7 linked regions of the Mus musculus genome follow. The protein of the gene in region 1 interacts with the protein of each later gene in a pairwise test. Links are inferred from orthologs where the notes say so. Each region holds a gene or a part of one and is shown in the gene's direction. Other genes may lie near its edges. The genes, in order: Golga2, Tfap4, Pqbp1, Patl1, Kifc3, Magoh and Scnm1.

Region 1 (3,500 bases):
AGTTTTAATTCGACACACTCTGCCAAGTCCCAAGTTGGCAGAGGGTAGTCATCTTTCTCACACTTGTTTCTAGAGTTACTCTCCTTTACTGTGAACCCAGTTGCACAGTTGTGAGTGAGAGGCAGGGAGAATAAATACCCTGGGAGCTTGAGGAATTGGTTAGCTCATGGACCCATGTGGCTCTGAGCACCTTTCTCAAATCCATCCTCCCGTTCGGTCTGGGGTGTCATGAAAGGGGCCAGGCCTAGTCCGCTTCCTTTGACTCTTCCCACAGAAACAACAGAACCAAGACACTCTGGATCAACTGGAGAAAGTAATGTGATAGATTCTATGTTCGCTCTTTTCATGACTGATGGGGGTTGGGGAGACCTCAGAGGTGCAGGCTTCGGTCTTGCTTTCTTCTATCCTGGAGAAGACTCACCCCACAGGGTGTCCTCCATAGGATCTTTGATAACCTGACCTCATGGTGTGCCTGTCCTGGTGTCTTTGTCTTTCTGGGGGCTCGTCCCTTGGGCCACCCCTGCTTCCCCACTAAGAGCTGTACTTCCTTGTGCCTGCAGGAGAAGAAGGATTATCAGCAGAAGCTGGCAAAGGAGCAGGGCTCTCTCAGGGAACAGCTGCAGGTGAGAGGTCTGGGCAGTGTCCCCGAGTTCTCTGGAGAGTGTTGCTCTCCCTTCTCTCAGCATTGGTGGCCTTTTCTCCAAAGGTTCACATTCAGACCATAGGCATCCTGGTGTCTGAGAAGGCAGAATTACAGACGGCCCTGGCCCACACTCAGCAAGCAGCCAGGCAGAAAGCAGGTAAGGCCTGGGAACCCTTCCGCCTGTACTGATGCTGCGGCGGGCCCGAGGGCTCCATCTGGACCTCTCTTGTTCCAGGAGAGTCGGAGGATCTTGCCAGCCGACTACAGTCCTCCCGACAGCGTGTGGGAGAGCTGGAGCGGACACTGTCTACCGTGTCAACGCAACAGAAACAGGCAGACAGGGTAAGACAGGTCGATTCTCTGGCCATCAGCAGCTTCCTGGTGGACAGTGAGCCTGAAGGGCTTTGCTGCATGGCCGGGTGTCTCACAGCATACACCACGCCAATTCTTGCTGCTTTTGTTGTGTGGTTGGTAAAAGCAACCTGGGGGATGGGTACCCTGCTGGGTAACTGGGGACTGTATAAACAAGCACTGAATGCAACACCTAAAGGCAGGTGCCTGCTGTGACCCTGCTGTTTGTCTGTGGCCTTGACCAAGTGCTAAGTGATGGGATGGGTGCTCATCTCTGAACAGATCTTCAGATGGTGCCATTTGTGGAGGGAGAAGAATGTGCGTGTGCAGTGTATGCAAATCATGTCTGAGAGGATTGGTAAACTTGGGTGGGGAGGGTGACTGAATGGCCATCTGTTCAGAGGAGAGCAAGACTGAGATAGAAGTTAAATAAGAGAAGTATCCTCCGCTTATCTGCAGCCCCCAGGGGAAAGGGCCTAGAGAGTTAGACACCCGAAATGTTCAAGTCTCAGCTCTGTTGACCTAAGTGATTTCAGGCCAGCACGTAGACTTTGTGTGCTGTTTCTGCCCAGTGTGGGTGATGGCAACTGTTCTAGATGTGTATGAAGATTGCATGGGATTATTAGCAACAGTGCCTGGTAAGTGCTCAGTGAACAATATTAACAACACCAGTGGTGTCCAAGAGTTCCTGGCCCAATGCTAGCCTGCTGTAAATGTCAATTTTTTAAAACTTCATAAGGCTCCCACCTTACTGTCCAGAAGCTAAGATCACAGTCTTAGGCCAGCGTATTCAGGTCTCATTCTACCTGACTCATCCCTATGGAGTTTTTAAAAGTATAACTTTATTTACTCTGTGTGTGTGTGTGGGGGGGGGGTGCCTTTATTTATATGCACCAAATGTGTGCCTGGTGCCTACAGAGGGCAGAAGACACTTGGATCCCCTGGAACTGGAGCCATTATGTCAGTGCTGGGAACCGACTGGGGTCTCCTGGAAGAATAACTGTCTGCTCTTTTACTGAGTTTTGTTATTGTTTTTCTCTGTTTTCTATTTATTTTTGTTGAGATGGTTCCCATGTAGCCGTGGATGGCTTGGAACCCTGCCTTTGCCACCGAAGCACTGGGACTAAAGGTGTTTGCCACCACTGCCACCATCCTGCTCATGAGTTCTTATTAAAAAACAACAACAAAAAAGGCATTACTAGTGAGGTGATGGTGGCCCACACCTTTAATATCAGCACTTGAGAGGCAGAGGCAGAGGCAGGCGGATTTCTGAGTTCGAGGCCAGCCTGGTCTACAGAGTGAGTTCCAAGACAGCCAGGGCTACACAGAGAAACCCTGTCTCGAAAAAAATCCAAAAAAAAAAAAAGAGTAGCAGTAGTGGGACTGGAGAGATGGCTCAGCAGTTAAGAGCACTGACTGCTCTTCCAGAGGTCCTGAGTTCAAATCCCAGCAACCACTTGGTGGCTCACAACCATCTGTAATGGGATCCAATTCCCTCTTCTGTTCTGAAGACAGCAACAGTAGTCGTAGTAACAACAACAATAACAACAATAATAATACAAATGAGTGAAGCAGATGGAGTAAAACGTACTTGGAAACCCAGCACTTGGAAGAAAAGGGCAGGAAGATGTGGAGTGAAAGGCCAGCTCCATCTTCATGAGAATATGTCTCCTAAAAACCATGTGACACTGGGGAAGGTGACCATGCCTGTGATCTCAGCACTCGGGAGACTGAGGCTGGAAGGTTCCAAGGCCAGCTTGTAAATTCTAGGCTTACCTGAATCCCTCAGACTGTGTTTGGGAAGAAAAATTAAAAGAGAGCTGGGGTGTTGTTGGTCAGTAATAGAGCAATTGACTGGCTGATACAATGGCTTGAGTTTGATCCCAGCCTTGCAAAAAATAATACTATTATTAATTACAAGCAAAATCTCCAGGGCTGGAGAGATGGCCTGGTAATTAAGAGCACTGACTGCTCTTTCAGAAGACCCATGTGGTGCTTCACAACTTTATATAACTCATGCTTGTGGAGCACAGACATATATGTAGATAAAACACGAATACATATAAAATAAATAAAACAAAGGAACCCTGTCTTAGGTCCCTGAAGGCTATGATCAGTGTAGACCTTTGGTCCCAGCTACTGGGGAGGCTGAGGCAGAAAGACATTTTAGCCCAGGCGTTTGAACCCATCTTAGATAACATAGTGTGACCCCACCTTAAAAACAAAACACACAGAATCACAAATGAAACTTAGAAATGTGATTAGGAAGAGGAAATGTCACTTTGGAATATGACCGTGGCCATTGGTGTTGTGCCAGCTGCTGCTTCAGCCTGCCAGGTCCAGACTCATCTTTCTCTTTCTGCAGTATAACAAGGACCTAACCAAAGAGCGGGATGCCCTCAAGCTGGAGCTGTATAAGAACAGGTAAGAGTGGGAAGGAGGCCGGGCAGTGGTGGCCCATGCCTTTCATTCCTAGCATTTGGGAGGCAGAGGCAGGCAGATTTCT
Region 2 (4,255 bases), on another chromosome or scaffold:
ACAGCCCAGCCGGCTAGGAAGTGCTGCTTTTCAAGTTACGTGTCCCTGGGATTAGATGCTAATTGATCTGGCATCTACAGTTAGAGATCAGGTTGGTAATATTGAACAATGTTTTCTAATAATACCCAACAATTGTTATAAATAGAAGTATTTCAACTAAGAGGCTCGATTTGGGTGGAACCTTGGAAGGCAGCGAATGGGTCTGGGAAAGGCGCTGAGCTGGAGCGAGGACATTCCGAGGCAGGCGTGGGCTTCCTGAGCCTGGGGCCAAGCCCTCCAGGAGTCTGGGGAGGGCCGGGACCGGAAGGTGGGGGCGTGTCAGAGGACGGAAGCTCACCCCTAAAACGTCCCCTCCCTTGCCCCAGACCACCACTCCCCCCCCATTGTAGAGCGCGCCCTCTGGCGGTGGAGCAAGTTTTATCCCGCCTTCCCCATGAATGAGAAGCTGCAGCCCGCTGCGCGCGAAGTCGGAAAGTAAGGTAGTGAAAGAGGCAAGACAGGACCTGGCAGCCACCACCAGACCTCTAATGGATATTCGGACCGCGCTGGCAGCCTGCCTCAGGGCCGCTGCTGTTCTGGCTTGCCTCCGCCCTTCCCTTCCTTCCCACTTGCTCTCTCTTCCTATGGCAGCCCCAAACATCCGAGGTACCTTGCGCACCTGCCTGTACCCTTCGCAATCTAATTTCCTAGCACCAGTCAGAGTTTGGGCCAGGCAGCCACCTGGGTAAAGACGGAGGGAGGAGGCTGGCGGGTGGTCAGAGTCAGCCCCAAGTTACTTGTGGGAAACAGTGGCTATGACGCAAGTTTCCAGGGGGCCCGGGTCGGCTCGAAAGGGAGCGCGCCAGAGTGGCTCTGCTCCGCTCCGTGCAGTGGCAATTATGAAAATGCAAAAGCCTGAAGCACACACCCAAAAGAGCCTTCCCTTTGCTGCTGCAGCCCCGCCCAGCGCGTCCTCCAGGATAGCGGTGCGCAAAGACCCCGCACTGGGCAGTCCTCACCGGACCCTGGACTGCACAGACTGGGATCCCGTGCGGTGGGGCTGGCCTTTTTTTTTTTTTTTTTTTTTTTTTTTTTCTTTTTAGCTACGCTTGCCAACCTGTCAGCTGATGGACCTCATCACCCATAGTGGCGCATGTAGCTGGGCCGCTGTTCACTCCATTCACATCGTGTCCCCCCACAGCCAGCTGTCGACCCCTGATTCCTGATCCCAGGGTTAAGTCTGCAGACCCATGTAGTAGTCGGTCCCAAGGAGCTTGCGCCCTTCTCGCCCCAGCATCCAGTCGCCCTGGGGGGGGCGCTGCAAATAGTCCTTTGTTTACATGCAATTCCTTACTCCGCGGAAGGAGGCCGGGGAGTGCTGAGTTTTCACCAGCTGTTTCCCGCCTTGAAACAGACATCTGATCAGCTGCAAACACACACACACACACACACACACACACACACACACATACACACGCCCGGGGAGGCAGGCTGGAGAGACCTCCCGCCCGCCCCTCCCGCCCGCCTCCCTCCCCTCGCCGCTGCTGCTGCTGCCGCCAGCATCTGGGACCGGCCGATTCTGCACCTCCGTCCGGCGCTGCCCTTTGATTCGGATTTCCATCTTGCATTCTCCGGCTGACCGCGAGACCTGGCTCGTGCACAGGAGGGGGGCCTATCGCTATGGAGTATTTCATGGTGCCCACTCAGAAGGTGCCCTCTTTGCAACATTTCAGGAAAACAGAGAAAGAAGTGATAGGAGGGCTCTGTAGGTGTGTACTGCTCCTCCCCCCAACCCCTTCTTCCCATTGCAGCCCCCGGCCAGCCCGCCCGGGCGGGTGCGCGTGTGCGCACGCATGGCTCGCGCCTCCGAGCTCGCTCGCCTTTCTTAGCTACTGGGTCCGCTGCAGTCTCTGGAACCCTGCTTGCGTTGCCTAGGGACCCTCTTCCCTTGGAACGTGGGGACCCCGAGAGGTTCTGTCCACTTTTGTCCGCTGCAGGCGGGCGAGTCGCGACGTTTGTAAATTGCAAACAGACCCACGTGGTGCTGCAGCAGTCCCGGCCATGCTTGCTGCTGGTGGCTTTCACCCAGCGCTTCCTCCTCCCCCCGCCAGCTTTGGCTTCCTTCCTTTTCCTTGCTTACTCGCGCTTTCTGGGAACCCTCTTCTAAGGAGGTCGTTTTGGGGGGGGCCCGGAGTGTGCGAGAGGACAGCTACAATGCTGCCATGCCGCGGTTCCAGGCTGCGGGGAGGGGGGGCGGGGAGCCGGGTGGTGTGAACGTTTGCAGAGAACAGGGCTGCAGCAGGGTTGGGGGCGTGCTCGCTCGAGGTTGCGAGGCGTACGTGGACCTTTAGTGGCCATGCTTCAAGCAGGGAAGTTGCGGTCCCCCACACGTTGGCAGTCACTAGTCGCACGTTCTCCGCCCGCGCTCGGGTGCTGTTTACTAGCGAGGCCTGGACGTGACTCTGCAGCCCTCTTGGAGTAGGCGGGCCTCTGCGCGCACGACCTCACGGGAGCTGTAGTTCTCTATGCCGGGTCGGTGCTGCATTGTGGGACTTGTAGGCGCTTCGGGGCCACGCTTTACTTGCACAAAGCTCGGCCGTAACCAACTAGGTGGGCTAAGCAGGCCAGGTGGGGAGGCCTTTTGATGAGGGTGCGTCTTAGGTTGCTTCAGGGCTCTAGTCTACTTCCTGTTGCATATGGGTCTGCAAACTTTGCTGTCCCACTTCTGTTCCTCAGTCATAAATGCAAAGCGTTGAATCTCCTGGTCGGGTGGGTGGTCGGAGGTCTCTCTTGAGATACCCCTTAGTGAGCTTGATCCTACCTAGGTTGCCCCAGATCCACTCGCTACTAAATCGCGATTGACCAGTGGCCGAATCTCTCTTAAACTCTTGTTAAATCGTCATGTCTGAGATTTCTATTGCCGGCCCTGGTATCTGCTCATTGAACCCTACAAGCCGGCTGGGTCCGGGCGGGGATGGTGGTGGTGCACGCAAGGAGAGGTTTCTCCAGCGCGCTTAAGTTTGAAACCGACGATCTCTTTCCTGCCTGCCGTGCTACTCTAGGAGCGTAATGGCTCCCCAGGGCTGGGGCCACGTGCTCCGACACCCCAGCCAGGCAGGGCTGGGGCTGGAGGAGGAGGAGCCCGCTGAGTGGCATAGGCTGGTTGGTAGACAGCAACGCCTGTGGGGCAGGTTGCTGCATAGGTATAAAATCCAGGTAGGGATCCCACTTTACTTTCAAGTTGAGAGCCAATACCTAGGGCCTGTTGGTGGGTCTAGCAGCTGGCAGCCCCCTCTAATCCCCCCCCCCCCAGCTGGCACTAAGATACGGTTCACCTGAGGGCCCAGCAGGTACAAAACAGCAGTAACTAAACTCTTGGACACTAAATATTCTGGGGACCTACTTGCTAGAATTTTCTCTTCGAATCACTACAATCTTGCTGTGAGTCCATTTGTTTTCTGATTTCTTTGTAAAGCTGGAGAAGCTTTATAAAGCTAAGAAGGCACCAGTTAGAGCAGATATTCAGCTGGACTCGATTCCTAAGTTTGCTGTTGTGCTGGCTCCTCTGAGCTGGCTTGGGGAGTGGGGAGTGAAGCCTGATTAGCTCCATATTCTGGAGAGGTCATTCTGGTGCTGGTCCTGCATTGGCTTTGACAGTAGGAACCTCTGGTTGCTATGCCTAAGCCTTTCGGTACTCTTGTCTTCACTCGGTCCCTTTCTCCAGACCTGTGTTGCTGGAGGGCAGTAGACCTGCCCCGCCCCCAGGAACATAGGGTGTTTTCAGGTCTAGTAATTGAGGCACCACAACCTGCCTACAGGCACACAGGTCCTTAGCCTGTCTTGCTTACAAGGAGACAGTTGTACACTGGGCATGGAGGAACATAGCCTCTAGGCCTGTTCATTTTCAGCTGGAGCAACAGCTGGGAGATCTGTCCTGGATGGAGTGTGGGCTGGGCAGGAGCTTATGGTGGATGGACTCTGGTTTGTTTCAGACTGTGGACTTTGCTCCACCCCTCCCTGTTTAGCTGGGTTCTCTCTTGTTTGACTCCTATGCCTTCTGGGCCAACCAGAAGGAGCCATAGGGCAGTGTGGCACACTTTGATGTTTTGCTTGACGTTTTGGACCTTCTGCCTAATGGTTCTGTGAGACTTGGATATAGGCAGTGCCTAGAAAGTGAGATCCAGACTCTAAAGAGCAGGCGCATGGTAATGTCCAGTGGCTGTGTGTGTGTGTGTGTGTGTGTGTGTGTGTGCAAGTGTGCGCATGTGCATAGGTG
Region 3 (4,253 bases), on another chromosome or scaffold:
GCGTCAATACAACTGTTTTTGTCATTATCAAAAATCAAATGGCTTTGGAATCTAGGTCCCCTGTCCCCCACAATCTGTCTCTTGCTTAAATCAACTACTCTACCACTGAGCCCCTATGACTGTTTCTGACAATACAGTATTCTCAGAGAGTTCTACGTGAAACTAGATTTGAAGAACAGAGTCCCTCAAATCCTAGAACCAGGAGCCAAAAACAAAATGGTTTTTGTTACTATCAAAAATCAGTAAGAGTTGTCATGTGCCTGGCAGGGGTGGTTCACGCCTTTAATCCCAGAACTTGGGGGGCAGAGGCAGGAGGATTTCTTAGTTCAAGACTACAGAGTGAGTTCCAGGACAGCCAGGGCTACACCACAGAGTAACCGTGTCTGGGAGGGGGGGGGGGGAGTTGTCGTGTCAGGCTTCAATAGTGTTAACTAGCAAACGTTATTTAAGTAAAATATAAACAGGGTGACTGACACTCGGTTCGACACAAAAAGCACGTCCAGAGAAACCCTTGTGTCCTTTTAAAACCTAAATCGGACAAATCAAAAGACCGTGCGGAAAAGCCAGGTGCCATCTGGCTTAGCCCACAGTGAGTTCACACATGCCCTATCCTATGTCAAAAGCCAGCCTGAGAAAAGCGACACGAAGAAACCCTGTGGATATTGGCTCCACGCCTCTCCTCCCTCACCGCCGGAATGGATCTGCCCAGCGTTTCTCTTTTGGCTCACAAAGGGGGTCTAGGAGAAGAGCCAGGGCAACAGTGCGATAGTTTGTCCCACACCGCACATACTGGGACACTCCACGGTGGCGGTTTTTTGACGAAGTCCGAGTGGGAGGGGCCATGCCGGATGCGCAGAGGCAGTGAAGTTTCCGAGCCTCCCGGGTCAGGGACTTGACACTGCAGCCCCTGCCTTCCCCGCCCGCCTCCCGTTGTCCGCCTGAGCGTCGCGCGGACTGTCCCGAAGCCTGTGCCCATCGCCGTACCAAGGTTCGCGAGCGTACTCCTCCATGGCGCCAGAGTCCGGCCTGGCGCAGTCGGTGGCGCGGGCGAGACACTCCCCCCGTCCCCCTCCCGCTCCGAAACGCCCACAAGCTCTGAGGCGCTGTACGTAGACCAAGGGAACAATTGGTTCTTCTCTGCTTACGTAAGGCCAACGGCGCGCTCTTATTGGCTAGCCAGAAGGGCCACATCCGTTCCATGTAAGCGTCGGATGCGACCAGTTAATTGCACCTGGGGAGAGTCGAGGAGCCTGTTGTGCTTTAAACCAAGAGCCCTTCGGTGTTGGTAAGCACTGTGCCAATGAGGGAGAGGAGGGTAAGGAGATAGACTTTGACTAATCGCACAGTTGTACTGGTAAGGCTGGGGTGTAAGCTTTCTTTTAAAGCTGGAGATGGCGTTGGCATTGTATCTCCCCCATCCTAGCGCCTTGGTTCCGCCCACCGTGCGGACTTTGAGGAACGTTGGGTGATCCCATTTCTGGGTTGCGGGTGTGTGGCACTTGGTCCCTTGGGTGATGGGTGGAGCCTTGGTCTAGAGAGGAACTGGGTCTTTGGTCCATCCGGTCTCCAGTGCCTGGGTCCGGAGAGTTCTGCTGATCCTAATTCTGGCCATATTGCTACATATCTCTTTTATCTTTTAGCACGCATTTTTGTTCTCTTCCAGCTACTGTTGCAGTTACGTAGGTGTGTGTGTGTGTGTGTGTGTGTGTGTGTGTGTGTGTGTGTGTGTGTGTGTGTGAACACACGCGTGGTTACTGGCTATCCAGATTGAAATGTTAATCAGATCTGCCCTTCAGTACTGTCTTGTCTGTTTCTAGGTCTGGTCAGCTACCCACTATGCCGCTTCCTGTTGCGCTGCAGACCCGCTTGGCGAAGAGGGGCATCCTCAAACATCTGGAGCCGGGTGAGAAAACTAAAAGCAGATGCATCTATCATGTGCCAGTGTTAATAGACGTTCTGCTGTTTATTCTATTCTTTATTCCCCCTTTTCTCCGCCCCCTCCCGCCCCTGTCGAACCTAGGTGTTTGCTAAGTAAGTGCTCTGCCATCTTCTGCCGTCCTAGTGTGCATCTTCCCCCGCCCCCTTGTACTGCTGGGGTTAGACCAGAGCTCTTGGATGCGCTCTATTGAAGTATATCTCCTTGACTGGCACCTTGGTTTTGATACTTGGTATCTTGCATGGCCTGGCAGGCATCTCGTTGTCAATATAATTTTTTCTGATATTCATTACTTCTTCGTGGTTGGTGGGTGCTGTGTGAAGTGTAAGGCTGGAGGGATAGCTTTAATTTAAGTCATGAATCAAGTGGACACGGTGGCAGGTACAAATATCTCAGGTACTAAGGAGGCTGAGCTACAAACATGGCTTGAGTCCAGGAGGTCAAGGCCAGACATGGCAATTTGGCAAGACCCAGTCTTCAAAAAATAAAAAACAAATAGACATAAGTATGGTGGCATTCATCTGTAGTCCCCAGCATGGCTGGGGCAGGTAAAAGGGATCACAGGAGACAGCCTGGTTTACATACTGAATTCTAGGCCAGATATACATGTGTCTGTGTGTGTATGTACACATGTATATATGTGTATATATATGTGTGTGTATCAGAAAATAAGTAAAATAAACCCATGACTGCATGGTATTTAACTAATTAATGTTTGAGACATGGTCTCATTCTGTACTTCTGGCAGGCCTGGGACCCATTCTGTATATCAGGCTGGCTTTGCATTCATCAAGATCTGCCTGTCTCCGCTTTCCTAATGCTAGGATTAAGGGTCCAAAAAGGCATCTGATCTATCCTGCAGTCTCCTATGTGCCAAATACAGTGACAGGATGCTGATGCTCTATGTTTACCTCAGCAGAGGTACTTGGGTGATGGGCACCATAACCATTAACATTTATTTAAGGCTGCCTAAGTGCCTGGCACGTATGATATGCTAACAGTCAAAAAAGATGATCTGGGGGCTGGAGAGATGGCTCAGCAGTTAAGAGCACTGACTGCTCTTCTGAAGGTCCTGAGTTCAAATCTCAGCAATCACATGGTGGCTCACAACCATCTGTAATGAGATCTGATGTCCTCTTCTGGAGTGTCTGAAGACAGCTACAGTGTACTTACATATAATAAATAAATAAATAAATCTTTAAAAAAAAGATGATCTCTTAATAAGATTTACTGTATTACTAGGTGCTAATTATACATTATTGCCAATAGTAATAAAGTGGGGCATGAGTTTTGACCTATATGGTGTGCTAGGCACTGGAAAAGTACATCATATTATTGTATGGACAACTGACATCTATTACAAGACTACTTTGTGCCAGACATAGACTTTGTGCCTAACAGTACTAATAATGACCACTGATATTTGTTTTCTTGGGGGTGTTAGGATATGAATCCAGGGCTTCAGGCAAACCCCATATCATTAGTGTTTCTTTTAAATCTTTTTGAGTACTGAGCCCACTGCTGATAGTGTTTATTAGCAATATGGACAATCATACCTGACATCTCTTTTGGTGTCACTATGATGTTGTAGGCACATGCATTTTATTGTTAATTATACCCAGAGCTTAAATCTGTTATGTGCTTACTGATGGCCAGGCACTGGGCTGATAAGAGACACCATCTTTATTCTACTATCACTAGATGTCTGCTGCAAGCTTGCTGTATATCCGCCCCTAGGAATAGAGTCAAAGCAATGTTTACATCAATTCCTTGTTATCCAATATTCATGAGCCAGAAACCCATTGAAGTTCAGGATATGGATAGATTAGCCATTATTTTAGGCAACCCCCCTACTGTTCCAAGCCATTTCATTGAAATACGTTGGGATAATACAATGCCACATGGTATCTGAACTCAGGAATTGATTGGATATCAAATTTTTGAAGATTATCAACGCTGAGCATGTACTTCTGTCTTCCCTGCATGGTGGTGTAGATGTGAGTGGTCAGTCATGTCTCCATGCCTGAGAATAGGAGGAGAACCCCCACACACACACCATCACTATCGGGTAATTCAACTGCTTTTCTCCTTCCCCATTCTTCCAGAGCCAGAGGAAGAGATTATTGCTGAAGACTACGATGATGATCCTGTTGACTATGAGGCCACCCGGATAGAGGGTCTGCCACCGAGCTGGTACAAGGTGTTTGACCCTTCTTGGTGAGCCTACCAACATGGTGGGATGGACTTCATGGACAACATGGTGGCCTTGCCCTTCCTGTGTTCTCTCTTACTGTGGGTCGAGAGGGACGAGATGTGC
Region 4 (3,500 bases), on another chromosome or scaffold:
AATTGGTGAAGGGTGAGGAAGGAGGAGGGTAATCTCTCCCTCCATGTGTGGTAGGGTCTGCTCTCATGCCTCCAGGGCCAGTTCTACATAGCCTTCCCAACCCATCCCTGTAGTAGCTCAAGCCAAGACCCTACCGTGGTCTCAGGTGGCAACACCGGCTACTAACCTCAGGCTGTTCCTCACTACCCTCAGGTCTCTAGTTGTGCCTGTCTTCATTGTGCCCACATCCCTCTATTTATCTTTTCTTCCATTTCTCCACCACTTACTTGCTCTTAGTGGTCTTTGAGGGTCTGGGATCATCTGAGGAGTGGTGTCAGAGTGCTGTGCCTCACTTGTGCGTTATGGTGCCTGGCAGGGGTCCTTTTGGGCATGGTCTGCACCTCCCAAGCCTGTGTAGCTCTGGACTGGTTGGTGCTCATCTCAGGTTAGCTCCCTGTCAGGGGCCCCGTGATGCCAGTCTGGTAGTTGTTTCTGGCTCACTCCTGCTTGGGGCCAGAGTCCCAGACAGGGTTCTTCAAGTTTTTGGCTTGTTCCCCATCCTGGGAGTTCATCGGGACTTGCCTGGCACCTGATTGGTAGTTGTCTCAAGCTAGCGTCTTTTCAGGCTACTAATCATTCAGATAGTCATAGGTCAAAGCACTGAGCATAGACATAGACTTTCTCCTCTCTGCGCCTACTGACACAACTGCAGGCACACAGCAGCCACATTTGTAGTGCTTCTAAGGGCAGAGTAAAATGTTCTAAAGAATTTTTACTGAATAGTCTTTTTTTTTTTTTTAAGGAAACAAAAGAAAAACAAGTTCGGGATAAGAGAAGAAAAACCCTTGTTATAATTGAGAAAGTAAGTTTTAGAATTTATTTCTATATTTAGTTTCAATTTAAAGGACTATCAAATATATGTGTACCCAAGAAGTAGAAGAATGATCAGTAAACCAGCATTTTTTATTATATTACACTTTATGTATGGGGTGGCATTGTGCATGAAGGTCAGAGGACAGCTTGTAGGGCTGGGTTCTTGCCTTCTGCCATGTGGGTTTTGGTTCTCAAACTCAAGACTGGCTTGGGTGGGTAGGTGCTTTTTGCCTGCTAAGTCATCTCACTGGTCCCTGTTCTTTTATATTATGTAAGAATTGGCTTGTGGTAAGCTCTTGTTGTTTACCAGAGTATTTAGAAGTGATTGTGCTACATACCTTGCCTATGGGATCCTAGAAAGAACACTGCACTGGGGTTTTGTTCACTGCTCTTCAACTAATTACTTTTGAGCAGGACACCTTTTGTGATATATAAGTGTGTGTGTGTGTGTGTGTAGGTGTTTACTCCAGCTTGTGTGGAAGTTAGATGATAACTTAAGGGAGGCAACATGCGGCTCCTTCCAACACAGATGAACTCAGGCTGTCAGCAAGCACCTTTACCCATTGAGCAATCTCATCAACCCAGGTCATCTTAAGCCTAATTAAAAACAGGAATAGTTGCTCATGAACTGATTTAGTTTTACATCATTTATTGGGTGAAATGAGATTATACATATAGACTGTCTATAAAGCATACACCATGTTCAAGACTGTAGAGCTGCAGACTGTCCCTTTTCGGAGTCTGTAACCTGAGACTGAGTTATTTATACTTTTATGCTGTCCTCAGTTTCTTTGTGGAGACAACTATAGTAGTTTTGTTTTGGGGTTGAGTTTGCGATGAGTTGAATACCTGTGAACTGCTTAGACTACTGGTGTCAGCCAGTAAAATTAACTTTTTACCTGGTTGGTGGTGATGCACAAAATCCCAGCATTCAGGAGGCAGAGACAGGAAGATCTCCCAGTTTAGCCTGATATACAGAACGAGTTAACAGGATAGCCAGGGCTACACAGAGTAACCCTGTCTCAAGAAACGAAACAAAAAGAAAATTTGCTTGACTAGCAAAATATTTATCAGGAATCCAGGGTGGTGGATTTTACTCCCAGGGCAGTTTCTAAATGTGAGGACTACATAGTGAATTCCAGAAGGACTACAAAGTGAGACCCTATCTAAAGATTGCCAGGGCTAGAGAAGATGGTAAAATGTTTGTTTGAAGATCAGAGTTTACATCCTGTGCATTCACATAAATGCCAGGCAGGTATGGCAAGCCAATGCTGAGGAGATAAGAGATTAGGATCCTTGGAGGAACCTGGCTAGTTAGGTAAGCCTACTTGGCTACCTCTGGGTTCAGGTGGGAGATGATGCCTCAATATAGAAAGTACTGAAAGATGGAGAAAAACGGCCAGCAATCAAGCCCTGGCATCTCCACACTCTCAAACAGCCTTCTCACTGGAAGGTGGCAGTGTTACAGTAAGTTGGGTATTTCAGCCTAACATTGCTGCTAAAAGCTGGGCAGTGGTGGCGCACACCTTTAATCCCAGCACTTGGGAGCCAGAGGCAGGCGGATTTCTGAGTTTGAGGCCAGCCTGGTCTACACAGTGAGTTCCAGGACAGCCAGAGCTACACAGAGAAACCCTGTCTCAAAAACAAACAAACAAACAAACAAACAAAACATTGCTGCTAGAAATTTTGGGAAACATAATTACTTCACTATTTTATTATTTGACTAACAGTCCAAGAGAGAGAAAGGATGATGGTTAAAGGATTATATCACCATGTTCCCCTACATTTAAAGGAGCACCTTTTTAAAAATTTCTTTTGTTTAAATTACATGCTGGCATTTATACTAGTTAGTCCTAAACTGTGAAGACATTTATCTAATACTCTGGTCCTAACCTGCCATGTTGTGGCCTATTCTGTCTCTCTCCTAGACCTATAGTTTACTCCTTGATGTGGAGGATTATGAAAGGCGCTATCTCCTAAGTCTAGAAGAAGAGCGGCCTGCCCTGATGGATGAAAGAAAGCACAAAATATGTAGCATGTATGACAACCTGAGGGGCAAATTGCCTGGACAAGAGAGGTAATTATTGTGCTTTTAGAGGAGATGGGAGATTCCCTCCATTGCCAAACAAAACTCCACATACTTGGGATTATGATATACTCTGTCCAACTATTCATAAGCTTAGCATCTATCTTGGGTTTTGTTGTTTTTGTTTTGAGAGAGTCACATTGTGTGTCCCTGCCTATCTTTAGTTTCACAGAGATCCGGTTGCCTTCCAAACGCTGGTATTAAAGGTGTAGACCTTTGGTTACTTGTTTTACAACCTCTTGGAATGTGCTCTGAGTAGGAGAAAGTCTGGTTACCATCTAAAAGCAATTAACTGGTGACACTTGGGAGATTGGCACAGAGTTCTCATTGCAGCTTTGATTATTAGAAAATGACCTAATAGCAGTCCCATTAATAAAAGAGCTTAATAATCACAGATATAATTTTAGGAATTCTTATAGGATCATCACTAAGTCTTAAGTCATCTATTTGTCTATATAACATCACTACTAGATGGTACATCTTCATGCAGAGATCTGCTCCAAAGGGGTGTGCTCCTACTTAGTGATTGTTATGTATGTTTAATAATGACAGGAAAAGCATA
Region 5 (2,615 bases), on another chromosome or scaffold:
AGTAGGGAAAGGGCAGACAGGCTGGTGTAGTGAGAGTAGAAGCTGCCACAAAGGTGGGTGAGGCCAGAGCTCAGGCGTGCTTCTGCTTTCTTGAGACGGTCTCACTATGTAGCGCTGACCGGCCTAGAGCTTGCTTTGGAGACCAGGCTAGCCTCAAACTCAGGAGACCTGACTGCTGAGATTAAGGGTGTATGCCCGTGACCCCTTCAGCCATCTTTGTCTTGGAGACCAGCAGTTGCCCATGGTAGATGCATTTTAAATTGTAGACAATGTTTAATTCCTGTCCCGTGACTTCTCAGGGCGGCAGGGTCATTAGTCCCCTCTGTAGATGAACAAACACTGTCAGAGAAGGGAAGCAGAGTGGTTGGAGATGAATGAGCTGGGGCAGCCTTGGCTCCCACACCCACTGGCATCTCTGCTCACAGTGGGAGCCGGCTTGCCAGACACCACAGCCTACAGCACGAGCCCACTCTGCCCCTGGCTCTGGGACCAGTAGCCGCCCAGGTTCCATCCGAAGGAAACTGCAGCCGTCAGGTAAGCCTGTCTAGAAGTGGACTGGATGGGAGGGCAGGAGGGAGCCAGGCTGTCCTTTCCTAGCTAAGGATAAGCTGTTTTATAAAGAGGGAGGAAGCAGCCTAGGAGCCAGGCCTAGCGGCTTCAGCCTGGAATCTCAGCTGCTCGGGAGGCTGACACAAGAGGAGTGGAGATTTGAGGCCAACCTGATCAGTAGTTTCCAAACAATCTAGAAAGGGTAGTTGGGCACGATAGTTTGTGCCTTGTGCCCCTGGCATTTGGGAGACAGAGGGAGAGGCAGAAGGAGCACGCTCTGAACTAGCATGGTTTACACAGTGAGGTCCAGGCTAGTGGAAGTTACATAGCGAGAATGTACCCCACAAAGGGAAGCTGCCTACTGAGCATATGGGAGCCCTGGGTTCCATCCTCAACTCCATAAAACCATGTTTAGAACTCGTCTCCTTCCCTTGCCTGCCTTGGGCAAGAGTCAGAAAGCTTTACTAAATCCCTGGAAAGGGACAGAGGGCCTGGCCCTAGAGGCTCCTAGCATGTGCTCCTGACTTGAGGCCCACACTGTGTATATAGGAGCCCTCACCTTGGTGGGGCTCCTCTGGTACCTGATTCTACCCACCTTCCACAAAGCAGTCCAGACATCCCCGGTGGAAAAGGGGGCCTGGCCCCTCACTGGGTCCAAAGGGGGTGGTGGCAGCTGGGCCAATCCCTCCCCAAGTGAGACATCTATCACTTTGATTTCAGCCTGACAGCTGGGGCTGCAGTCTCCAGGTAAGTGGGGGTCAGCGGCCTGGGGCTGCCCACCTGCTGCCTGCTGTTGGTTCAGGGCTCTGCCAGGGCTCTTGTACAGAGCCAGTCCTGCCTTCTGCTGCCCTGTCCATGTGCTTCTGCTGGCCTCCTGCATCTGCTAAGGGCAAGCCTCCTGAGGCCAGAGGCTGAGCGCTCCTTTTCTACTTTTTCTACAGGGAAGTTGAGGCCAGTGCCTGTGTGAAGATGTGCCACGCTGCCAGGCCCTGTGGCCTGGCGACCTGCTGTAACACCCACCTACCATGAATGCAGGAGATGGAGGCTCTCCCGCCCTGCCTCTCCTCAGAGATGAGAAACATGTTCAGAAGGAAGCGAGTCTCTGTGTGGCTCTGGGCACCCAAGCATGGGGCTTCTGGAAGGGCAGGGATGGCACTCTGCCTGGTGGTAGGCTTGGGAGTCTAGCCGTTGCTGGGAGGGTGGGCTCTCTCCCCACCTGGCCCTTGGGCTGGACTGTTCTCTACTAGTTGAGAAGACTTGAGGAACCAGCTGGGGGGTTAGGGAGAGCAAGAGCATCTCTATCTACCCTCCTGAGGAGGGGAGCCCTCACAGGGCATGTATATAATGTTCTAGGTGTATATAGAAGTCCTCACCCTGTCAGAGGTCTGGGCTATATTTATGGCTGGCAGAGGCCAGTGTGGAAGGGCTGGGTTCTGTTCATCTGCCTGACACCAGGCACTCTCCCTGCCCACTGATTCTCAACATGTTCCTCTCCCCAAATCCTATTTAAGAACTTTTGGAAGCTTAGCCATTTTTACTTATTAAAATGAATGTCTTTTTACACAAGTGCAATCTGAATCGTCAGTACTGGGAGACCCTATGGAGAGTGGGCATTGTGTACCCTGTTGCTCCCGTTGCTGGCTGACCATGCAGACTCCACAAGTTGTCACTGAAGACACTGTGTCCCCCATGCTTTTTATATCATTTCTAGCACCTTGCGGGCCCCTATAACCATTCCATCCCATTGCAGTATCACCTCATGTTACAGAAGGAAAACTAGGCTTCAAAGACCTGCTCATCCTGTGCCAGCCTTTCCTCCCAGTCTGGAACTGTAACTAGTAGTGACCTGATGTATGCGTTTGTATCTGGTCCCCGGTCCCAGCCCTGGAGAACAGGGCTTGCTAGGGCTCCTCCCTTCTTGCTGGCTGCATCAACAGGCTGTTCTGGAGCGCAGACTCTCAGGGATGCCACAAGTATAAAAGTAGTTTCCTGTGGCCTGTGAAAACCACTCTAGAATCTTCCAAGGTCATGCAACCATCGTGGTCTAGTCTCTGGTGGCATCCAGA
Region 6 (4,114 bases), on another chromosome or scaffold:
ACCACACCTGTCGTGTGTCAATCTTCTATGACTAGAATTTACCGTATTTCACCTACTTGACCTTAAAATTCCCGCACCAGAAATTTGACCTTTCACAGAGGTCAACTTTGGCTCTTGAAAATGAACCTCTTGGGTAGTGGTCTCCACATTTGACCCACCTCGTTTTTGTTTCAGTTTGTGTGTGTGTATCTTACTTGGTAGTCCTGACTGGCCTGGAACTCACTATGCAAAGAGCAGTCTAGGCTTAAACTCACAGAGGTCTACTCCACTCTGCCTCTGAAGTGCTGGGATCAAAGGCATTGGCCACCATGCCCAGTTCTCACCTGGGTATTTTTTTAGAGGCTTCAGTGAAACTGGATTCTGTCAGCATGTGGCTAGGGCTGAGAATCGCTGCTAAATAAGATGACCAGTAGGAGCCGGGCGGTGGTGGCGCACACCTTTAATCCCAGCACTTGGCAGAGGCAGGTGGATTTCTGAGTTTGAGGCCAGCCTGGTCTACAGAGTCAGTTCCAGGACAGCCGGGGCTACACAGAGAAACCCTGTCTCGAAAAACAAAACAAAACAAGACAAAAAAGCCTAGTAGGGATCCAACATTCATTTAACCGACCCACAACACCTATCTAGACATGTTAGCTTGAAAGGGAAGAATGAAAGGCAACTCGTTCATGAGTGGTGACCCTCGTGAGGATGAGGTAGGAGGGTTTGTGGTTTCAGGTCAGTCTGGATCAGGTAGCAGTACTCTGCCTACACGTAAAATAAAGAAATAGCAGAAAGGGATGTTAGCTAAATGCAGGCAAGTTTCAGGCAACATTGTGGAATGGGAAAGGAGTCATTCTTAAAAGACAGCTAAGTAAAGCCAACTTTATTTTTCGGGACAGGGTCTTAGTATGCAGCCACTGGTCTCAAACTCTCATTACGCTCTTTAGACATTTACTACTAATCTCCCGCCTCAGAGCCACCTCCTGATCTACACACTGGGGAGTGGAAGAAGGCGGGGGATGGGGGTGGCAGCGTACTCATAGATGAGCAAATCATTTTGCCTCCTTTTACTGTGGAAACCCATCTAGGTTCAGAGTGTGAATAACCTCGTTCGACTCACTTGTCTCTTTAAATTGAGGTTGCGCCTGACAGGACTCTAGCGCTCAGTGTTGGGCTGAAACCCAGATGCAGTTCTCGGATCCCAAGATCTTCCAGAACTCTCGATATACAACCAAGGGGGCGTGGCGATCTTGACCCAGCGTCTAGGGGAGGGGGCGTGGTAATCTCGTTCCCGCCTCCGGAGAGTGAGAAACTCTTAGTGTCGCGGTGGCAGACGTCATTTCCGCGCGCCACCATTACGCCAGTATAAGACGTAGACCGCAGGCCGTGGTAGTGTCATCCGTTCCTAAAGTTCCGTCCTCCTTGTCCCTTGCGAGGCATGGAGAGTGACTTTTACCTGCGTTACTACGTGGGCCACAAAGGCAAGTTCGGTCATGAGTTCCTGGAGTTTGAATTCCGACCTGACGGTAAGAGCGGCCTCCCGGCTGCGGGCAGTGGGACCGGCCCCGGGGAGGGCGGAGAGAAGGCGGGCTGCGGAATGTGGCGAAGCGAAGCAAGGGACGCCGACCACCGTGCTGTTGGGTCGTGAAAGAGGCATTCTTTTGTCGGCTTCATTGGTTCTTTCTCTTCATCCGCTGGCGATTCTCCTTCGTAGCTTTTTAAAAAGCCAGGTTGCTTACATTCAACAAAGATTTAATGTCCATCTGAGAATGGGCTGTTTGTTTTCCAGTCTGGGGACAGAGCAACAAAAATAAATTTTCCCCTCTCGTGGAACATGTGTTTCAGAGCCGGAAGAAACCACAGCGATCTCTTGTAGTGTGGAGTGATCAAAAAGTAAGGTCGCTTTTAAAGAGCAGTCTGAGGAGTGTGAATTTGAATTAAGCCGTAATTGAAAAGGGATCAATTTTTGAAGTACAGGAAGAAAAGCATCTACAGGAGTAGCAAGTGTCATAGGACCTCAAAGAGCCAGACATATCCAGGTGGTCACTGGGGTGACTGAGAGACAGTAGTAGGGGGTGATGTTAGTCAAGAGCCTCGCTATACAGGTGTTTGTAGTGCTTGCTTGCATACAGCTTCCTTAGTTTTCAAAGTCCTTTCCCAACCCAGTTGAACATCAGCATGTTCTTCTCTGTGCAGCTAAGATAGCATTAAAATTCCTGTTTACAGCTGAGAACGTGTTCTTTTGCTACATCATGGCAGCCTTTTCCCGGGACTCTAGTTTACTGTCAGGTCCTTCTTCTGTTGTTCAGTAGTTTCAAGTGAAGTACCAAAAACACTACTATCACAGCTGGGAAATGGGTTGAAACATTCGATATAATTTAGGCAAAGCTCATATTCTTTGGAGGGTAATGGTGCTTTGTTCATGTTTTCTAATACGTTGCATTCTTTTTTTTTTTTCTTTTTTCTTCCGAAGGTAAATTGCGATACGCCAACAACAGCAATTACAAAAATGACGTCATGATCAGGAAAGAGGTACAGACCTTTCCTTCACTACGACTTAGCCTTTGGTTTCCCATTGCTTATGTTCTCTCTGGTAATGAAAGATGAAGTGTAGGAAGCGAGCACTTATTTCTAAGCAGCTAGATTATTTCTCTGATTCACTCCCCCCCCCCCCCCAGTGCTGAATCAAAAGCTAGTAAGTGTTTGAAATCTGTGTGTCTTGGTTTGTACCCTCGGTGTGCCCCATACTGACCATGTGACCTCAAAACAAGTTCTCTGGCTGAACTTGGTCTCTGTGTTTTCATCTGTAAAACAAAGGATAAGAAAACCTACCTGTGACTCCCAAATGTTATCATAGAATTAAATATATTAGTCCCTAGTACATAGACTATGAAGACAGCATTGACTTTGCTTCTGAAGAGGAAACGGATCAGGGGAAAGTCTCAACCTCGAATTACGCTCTTTAGAGCTAAACCATAGACATTTACTACTACTCTCCCACCTCAGAGCCCCCTCCTGATCCACACACTGGGGAGTGGAAGAAGGCGGGGGATGGGGGTGGCAGCGTACTCATAGATGAGCAAATCATTTTGCCTCCTTTTACTGTGGAAACCCATCTAGGTTCAGAGTGTGAATAACCTCGTTCAAACAATATGTTGTTTAATCCTGATTATAAAAAGCCCATGTGACAAAGTATTCTGCCATACTTTCAATCAGGAAAATCATGGCCTAGATATTAAATCTGAGGATAGTTACTCTTGCTTGTAAGAGATAATGATAGGCATTTGGGCATATCTGAATCTCAGTAAAGGTCATGTGTTCCATTCTGCTGGGATTTCTACTATATCATTAAGGATATGACAGTATGTCTTCATACAATTTAGCAGTTAATTTTATGCCGAATCAGCATCATATCTTTTTCTCTTTGTTTGGTTTGGGTTGTTTGTTTGCATGACCTAGTGCTCCTCAGAAGCAGTTGGTAGAGTGCTTGTCTTCATGAGGCCCTGGGCTTCATCCTTAGCATCACAGAAACTGATCATGGTAGCCATGTTTATATGTCAGCACTGGGGAGGTGAAAGCAAGAAGCTCAGAAGTTTAAGATCACCAAGGCCAGGCTGCGAGGCATGAAACCTTGTCTGTAAGCAGCAGGGTGTATCAGTTGTCTGTTACCACTATAACAATATATCTGACAGAGGCTATTGCCGGATTATTGTCAGGAATGATACAGACCTGCAATTCCATGACTTTGTAGTTGAAGGCATGGGGATTAGAAATTCAAGTTGGACTCAGTAATGGTGGTGGTGATGGTATAAGACTTTTATCACTCGGGAGGCAGAATGAGACGAATCTCTGAGTTTGACGACAGCCTGATATACAGAGCAAGTTCCAGGTCTGTACAGAGAAACTCTGCCTGAAAAAGCCTTTTTAAAAGAAATAATTAGTTCATAGCAAGTTTGAAGCCAGTGAGGCTCAGTGAAATTCTCAAAAATAAAGAAGAGATTATTTAGCTCATCACTCCAGAGGTTCAAAATCCAAACACCGCTGCAGTAGTGAGAATGGGTGTGTGGCCACGCAGTGACCTCTCTCACCAGGAGAGAAACACACAGACATTGGAGGCCCACAATTCCTCTGCTGA
Region 7 (4,051 bases), on another chromosome or scaffold:
GTTTATCAGTCTTAAGTTGATAGGGACACAAGTCCAGTTAATGGCTGTAAGCCCCGCCCCCACTCACCCACCTCCCTCACCATCTACAGGAGTTGCTCCTCCCACTGGGATAGTTGGGCAGATCTGTCCCAACAGTGCTCTGCTGAGATGTGAAAGCAAAATAAGGAAGAAAAAAAACAGACCATAATAGAATTTAAATAATGTGAGAGGGGGCATCTTAGCGGGCCACCCACTTTCTCGGGACTATCTCAATTCTGGAAGACTCACCGTTACCCCGTATTTGAGTGCTAATCCAGCCAGGGTGTCTCCAGGCTCCAATTGATGCTCCAGGCGTCTTTCCCTCACTGGGGAGCAGGATGATTGTACCAGGCTTCCATAAGAACGAGCACGGCTCCCATGCAGCAGCCCTGACCCCCCGAGGGGAGGCTGTCTAGAGGGAGAAGCCATCTCCTCACTGTCAAGACCTAGGGTCACAACTGAGGGAAGCCCAGCTAAGTAACAGTGACGGCCGAACCCAAGGAATGGATATTCAGATAATTCGTTTTCTCTTCTCTCGTCTCTCTACAGTCTCCCGACTCTCGAGAGACTACATTCGTCGTCCTCCTCTTGCTGCTTCTTGCCGTGCCTGGAGTTACTGTCCGTCTCTTAAGAAGTCTGCCAGGCCGGTTACATTTCTCTTTCCACGAGCTCCTTACCCATAAGTATCTTCCCTGAGCTGTCAGTCGCTGACCCGGTTGACTTTCGACGCCCCCTCCCCAACTCCTCGCAAGCCTGATCTCTGACCTTTGAACCCTAGACACCCTCATCAACACTCTTCCCTCAGTGTATCCCCACATCCAACAGTCGGGATGCCGGGTGCTCCCACATCCTCTCTGTTCCAAATAAGGCCCACCCCAGGTAGGTTGTGGCTGAGGAGTACGAGCCTGAGGACAGCAAGAGTTTGTAGTATATAGTCCACTGAGATCCCTGACGCCTCGCTCCACATCAGGAAGGTCCCACCCTGAAATTCCGGCTCCACATACAGGATCTTGAGTCTCCGAACACCTGGATCCTTCGAGATGTGAGGTCCTGTGTCCAGGTGAGCAGTGTGCTCTTCAAAAAAATAAAAAAATAAAATAAATAACCAAAAGACTTCATTTCCCAAAAGGCACAGCGTCTCAAAGTATTGTAGGAAATGCAGGCCCCCTCAGGGCGCTGGAGGCGGGTCTTCCGGTTCGCGCGACGCAAGCGTGGAACATCATCCCCGGAAGTACAGATTCAACAAGAAAGAAACCGGAAGCAGAGAAGGCGATAGTGTACTCTTTCTACGGTGGCCTAAAGGAGCAGCGAAGTAGGCGTAGGGGAATTTATCGTAGTCTCACAGTCGCTATGTCTTTTAAGAGGGAAGGGGACGACTGGAGTCAACTCAATGTGCTCAAAGTAAGCCTTAGTGAGAGTCTGATCACCTTCAGCCGCCCTGTTGTTTTGTTTTGTTGCTCTGGCGACATCTAGGGGAGGGCTTAGGGGACCAGAACTGAGTGGTGACCCCTACTACCCTATGATCTGCATAGCCCCGTGTGCCATTTGACTCCTTATCCATACTATTTCATTTCCATCCGTCCCTCTTACTCATTTCTCCTATCCTGCTCCCTGCAGAAACGGAGAGTTGGGGACCTGCTGGCTAGTTACATCCCTGAGGACGAGGCACTGATGCTGCGGGATGGACGGTGAGAGCGAAGAGTGGATCAAGCCTGGGGATTCGGGGATCAAAGGCTCAACAAACTTTTGTCACTAAGGAGTTCAGGAGTATAATAGGACTCTTTGGCTGGAAGTGAAGTGTAAGGGGTGGAGATCGGGAAACCTGGGAGTTGGTGGTGGAGTACTCTGACAGAAGTAGGACCTACTCACCATAGCAAGAACACCCCGACTGCAGGCTCTCGAACACACAACATACACACCACACACCACACACATCATTCACTTCTCGTTTCCCTAGCTTTGCTTGTGCCATCTGCCCCCATCGACCAGTACTAGACACGCTGGCCATGTTGACAGCCCACCGTGCAGGCAAGAAGCATTTGTCCAGTAAGTATCAGAGAAGTGGGGAGGGCGGGAGATGGAGAGCAAGCCACCAGGCATTGTGCTTTTCATTCCTCCTTGCTTTTGTTCTCAGGTCTGAAGCTTTTCTATGGCAAAAAGCAAACAGGCAAGGGAACAGAGCAAAATCCAAGACAGCAGAACGAATTGAAGACAGAAAGCAAAACTGAGGTGAGAGGGCATCAGGTGTGGTTTAGACAGGGCTATACTTCACACAACAGGCTTGAGGGAACGTTTGCTCCTAACAGCTCTAACTCTGTCTCTTCATCACCAGGCTCCTTTGCTAACCCAGACTCGAATCATCACCCAGAATGCTCTACACAGAGCTCCCCACTATAACAGTTGCTGCCGGAGGAAGCACAGGTCCGTGGAATGGGAAAGCCAGGAGTGGAAAAGGGTAGAAGGAAATAGATGACTTTAAAGTTATTGCTCTCCAGATTGTATTCTGAGAAATAATAATCTTGTGGAAATATTTTTTTTAAATGATGGTAGGGGCTGGACAGATGGCTCAGCAGTTAAGAGCACTGACTGCTCTTCCAGAGGTCCTGAGTTCAATTCCCAGCAACCACATGATGGTTCACAACCATCCATAATGAGATCTGGCGCCCTCTTCTGGGGTGTCTGAAGACAGCTACAGTGTACTCATATATATAAAAGAAATCGTAAACCATCATTTTTTCAGGTTTTTTGTTTTTTGGGTTTTTTGTTTGTTTGTTTTTTGAGACAGGGTTTCTCTGTGTAGCCCTGGCTGTCCTGGAACTCACTCTGTAGACCAGGCTAGCCTCAGAAATCTGCTTACCTCTGCCTCCCAAGTGCTGGGATTAAAGGCGTGCACCACCACTGCCCGGTGGTTTATGATTTTAAAATAAATTTTTTAGCAAGTGGAAAATTGTAGAATAATCATACTTATTAGGAACATTAGGGCTTGGTGAGATGCCTCAGTGGTTAGGAACGCAGGGGGCTCTTCCAGAAGTCCTGAGTTCAATTCTTAGCAACCACATGGTGGCTCACAACCATCCAAAAGGGATCTCTTCTGGCATGTAGGTACACATGCAGACAGAGCACTCCTATATTTTAAAAAGTGCAATAAATAAATACATTCAAAAAGAGAGAATTGTAACATTAGTAGAGCACGGTGGTGTACTTTTTGTTTGTTTGTAGCCCTGGCTGTCCTGAAACCCTGCTATTTAGACCAAGGTGACCTCATATTCACAAAGATCTGCCTGCTTCTATCCCTCAAGTGTTGGGATTAAAGGTGAGCACTCCATGCCTGGCCTTGGAAAATCTTAAGACAAAAACTTAGAACCAGCCGGGCAGTGGTGGCGACGCCTTTAATCCCAGCACTTGGGAGGCAGAGGTAAGCAGACTTCTGAGTTTGAGGCCAGCCTGGTCTACAGAGTGAGCTCCAGGACAGCCAGGACTACACAGAGAAACCCTGTCTCGAAAAACCAAACCAAACCAACCAACCAACCAAACAAACAAACAAAAAACTCTTAGAACTATGTATTAGAGCATAAGGAATATGGAAAGTTACAAAACTTATGGAATATCTGTCTATATTGAGGTAATTTATTGTAATGACTTACAGTTTGTAGTCATGTTGTTGGGTTACAACAATGGGCAGCTGTGAATGAGAAGTCTAAGAATCTAATAGTTGCTCAGTCCCACAAGGCTGGTTGTTTCAGCTGGTCTTGTATAAATAGGTTCTAAAGATGTGCTTGGCAAGTAAGTGCAAGCAGTGGAAGAAGAGTGAGTCTTCCTTCTTCCAGTGGTCTTATGTAGGCCTCCAGCAGAAGGTGTGGCCTACATTAAGGCGTGTACACCACACCTGGATCTGGGACTTGCTTTGTCCCAGGCTGACTTTGAATCAGAGTTCTCCTTGCCTCCTGGGATTAAAGGCATGTTATACCTTGCCTGGACCTAAGCTTTTCACAGCCACTGTGCCTCAAGATCTCCATGCCAAGATCCAGATCAG

What was found.
Region 2: the proteins of Golga2 (region 1) and Tfap4 interact in binary tests that used the Homo sapiens proteins (3 or more experiments, as listed by UniProt). The two-hybrid records come from large-scale screens. The link is inferred for Mus musculus from reciprocal best matches to the Homo sapiens genes GOLGA2 and TFAP4.
Region 3: the proteins of Golga2 (region 1) and Pqbp1 interact in binary tests that used the Homo sapiens proteins (3 or more experiments, as listed by UniProt). The two-hybrid records come from large-scale screens. The link is inferred for Mus musculus from reciprocal best matches to the Homo sapiens genes GOLGA2 and PQBP1.
Region 4: the proteins of Golga2 (region 1) and Patl1 interact in binary tests that used the Homo sapiens proteins (3 or more experiments, as listed by UniProt). The two-hybrid records come from large-scale screens. The link is inferred for Mus musculus from reciprocal best matches to the Homo sapiens genes GOLGA2 and PATL1.
Region 5: the proteins of Golga2 (region 1) and Kifc3 interact in binary tests that used the Homo sapiens proteins (3 or more experiments, as listed by UniProt). The two-hybrid records come from large-scale screens. The link is inferred for Mus musculus from reciprocal best matches to the Homo sapiens genes GOLGA2 and KIFC3.
Region 6: the proteins of Golga2 (region 1) and Magoh interact in binary tests that used the Homo sapiens proteins (3 or more experiments, as listed by UniProt). The two-hybrid records come from large-scale screens. The link is inferred for Mus musculus from reciprocal best matches to the Homo sapiens genes GOLGA2 and MAGOH.
Region 7: the proteins of Golga2 (region 1) and Scnm1 interact in binary tests that used the Homo sapiens proteins (3 or more experiments, as listed by UniProt). The link is inferred for Mus musculus from reciprocal best matches to the Homo sapiens genes GOLGA2 and SCNM1.

What each region holds. Positions count from the first base shown.
Region 1 is NC_000068.7:32,298,326-32,301,825, forward strand, and holds part of Golga2 (golgin subfamily A member 2), read left to right. Parts: intron 1-274; coding exon 275-313; intron 314-560; coding exon 561-623; intron 624-706; coding exon 707-800; intron 801-878; coding exon 879-985; intron 986-3,359; coding exon 3,360-3,418; intron 3,419-3,500. UniProt on the Homo sapiens protein: Peripheral membrane component of the cis-Golgi stack that acts as a membrane skeleton that maintains the structure of the Golgi apparatus, and as a vesicle thether that facilitates vesicle fusion to the Golgi membrane.
Region 2 is NC_000082.6:4,556,921-4,561,175, reverse strand, and holds the start of Tfap4 (transcription factor AP-4), read left to right. Parts: upstream 1-1,455; 5' UTR 1,456-1,659; coding exon 1,660-1,748; intron 1,749-1,788; exon of another isoform or gene 1,789-2,511; intron 2,512-2,518; exon of another isoform or gene 2,519-2,589; intron 2,590-3,218; exon of another isoform or gene 3,219-4,184; intron 4,185-4,192; exon of another isoform or gene 4,193-4,255.
Region 3 is NC_000086.7:7,896,201-7,900,453, reverse strand, and holds the start of Pqbp1 (polyglutamine-binding protein 1), read left to right. Parts: upstream 1-1,453; 5' UTR 1,454-1,683; intron 1,684-1,817; coding exon of another isoform or gene 1,818-1,836; coding exon 1,837-1,903; intron 1,904-4,041; coding exon 4,042-4,153; intron 4,154-4,253. Other genes in the region: Timm17b (mitochondrial import inner membrane translocase subunit Tim17-B), read right to left, coding at 985-1,010. UniProt on the Homo sapiens protein: Intrinsically disordered protein that acts as a scaffold, and which is involved in different processes, such as pre-mRNA splicing, transcription regulation, innate immunity and neuron development.
Region 4 is NC_000085.6:11,932,899-11,936,398, forward strand, and holds part of Patl1 (protein PAT1 homolog 1), read left to right. Parts: intron 1-596; exon of another isoform or gene 597-730; intron 731-781; coding exon 782-841; intron 842-2,780; coding exon 2,781-2,929; intron 2,930-3,500. UniProt on the Homo sapiens protein: RNA-binding protein involved in deadenylation-dependent decapping of mRNAs, leading to the degradation of mRNAs. Acts as a scaffold protein that connects deadenylation and decapping machinery.
Region 5 is NC_000074.6:95,099,328-95,101,942, reverse strand, and holds the end of Kifc3 (kinesin-like protein KIFC3), read left to right. Parts: intron 1-425; coding exon 426-534; intron 535-1,269; coding exon 1,270-1,274; 3' UTR 1,275-1,296; intron 1,297-1,490; coding exon of another isoform or gene 1,491-1,516; 3' UTR 1,517-2,115; downstream 2,116-2,615. UniProt on the Homo sapiens protein: Minus-end microtubule-dependent motor protein. Involved in apically targeted transport. Required for zonula adherens maintenance.
Region 6 is NC_000070.6:107,878,441-107,882,554, forward strand, and holds the start of Magoh (protein mago nashi homolog), read left to right. Parts: upstream 1-1,314; 5' UTR 1,315-1,417; coding exon 1,418-1,505; intron 1,506-2,452; coding exon 2,453-2,511; intron 2,512-4,114. UniProt on the Homo sapiens protein: Required for pre-mRNA splicing as component of the spliceosome. Plays a redundant role with MAGOHB as core component of the exon junction complex (EJC) and in the nonsense-mediated decay (NMD) pathway.
Region 7 is NC_000069.6:95,131,213-95,135,263, reverse strand, and holds the start of Scnm1 (sodium channel modifier 1), read left to right. Parts: upstream 1-1,251; 5' UTR 1,252-1,368; coding exon 1,369-1,419; intron 1,420-1,635; coding exon 1,636-1,706; intron 1,707-1,975; coding exon 1,976-2,064; intron 2,065-2,152; coding exon 2,153-2,247; intron 2,248-2,350; coding exon 2,351-2,439; intron 2,440-3,237; coding exon of another isoform or gene 3,238-3,277; exon of another isoform or gene 3,278-3,458; intron 3,459-4,051. Other genes in the region: Lysmd1 (lysM and putative peptidoglycan-binding domain-containing protein 1), read right to left, coding at 268-447. UniProt on the Homo sapiens protein: As a component of the minor spliceosome, involved in the splicing of U12-type introns in pre-mRNAs. Plays a role in the regulation of primary cilia length and Hedgehog signaling.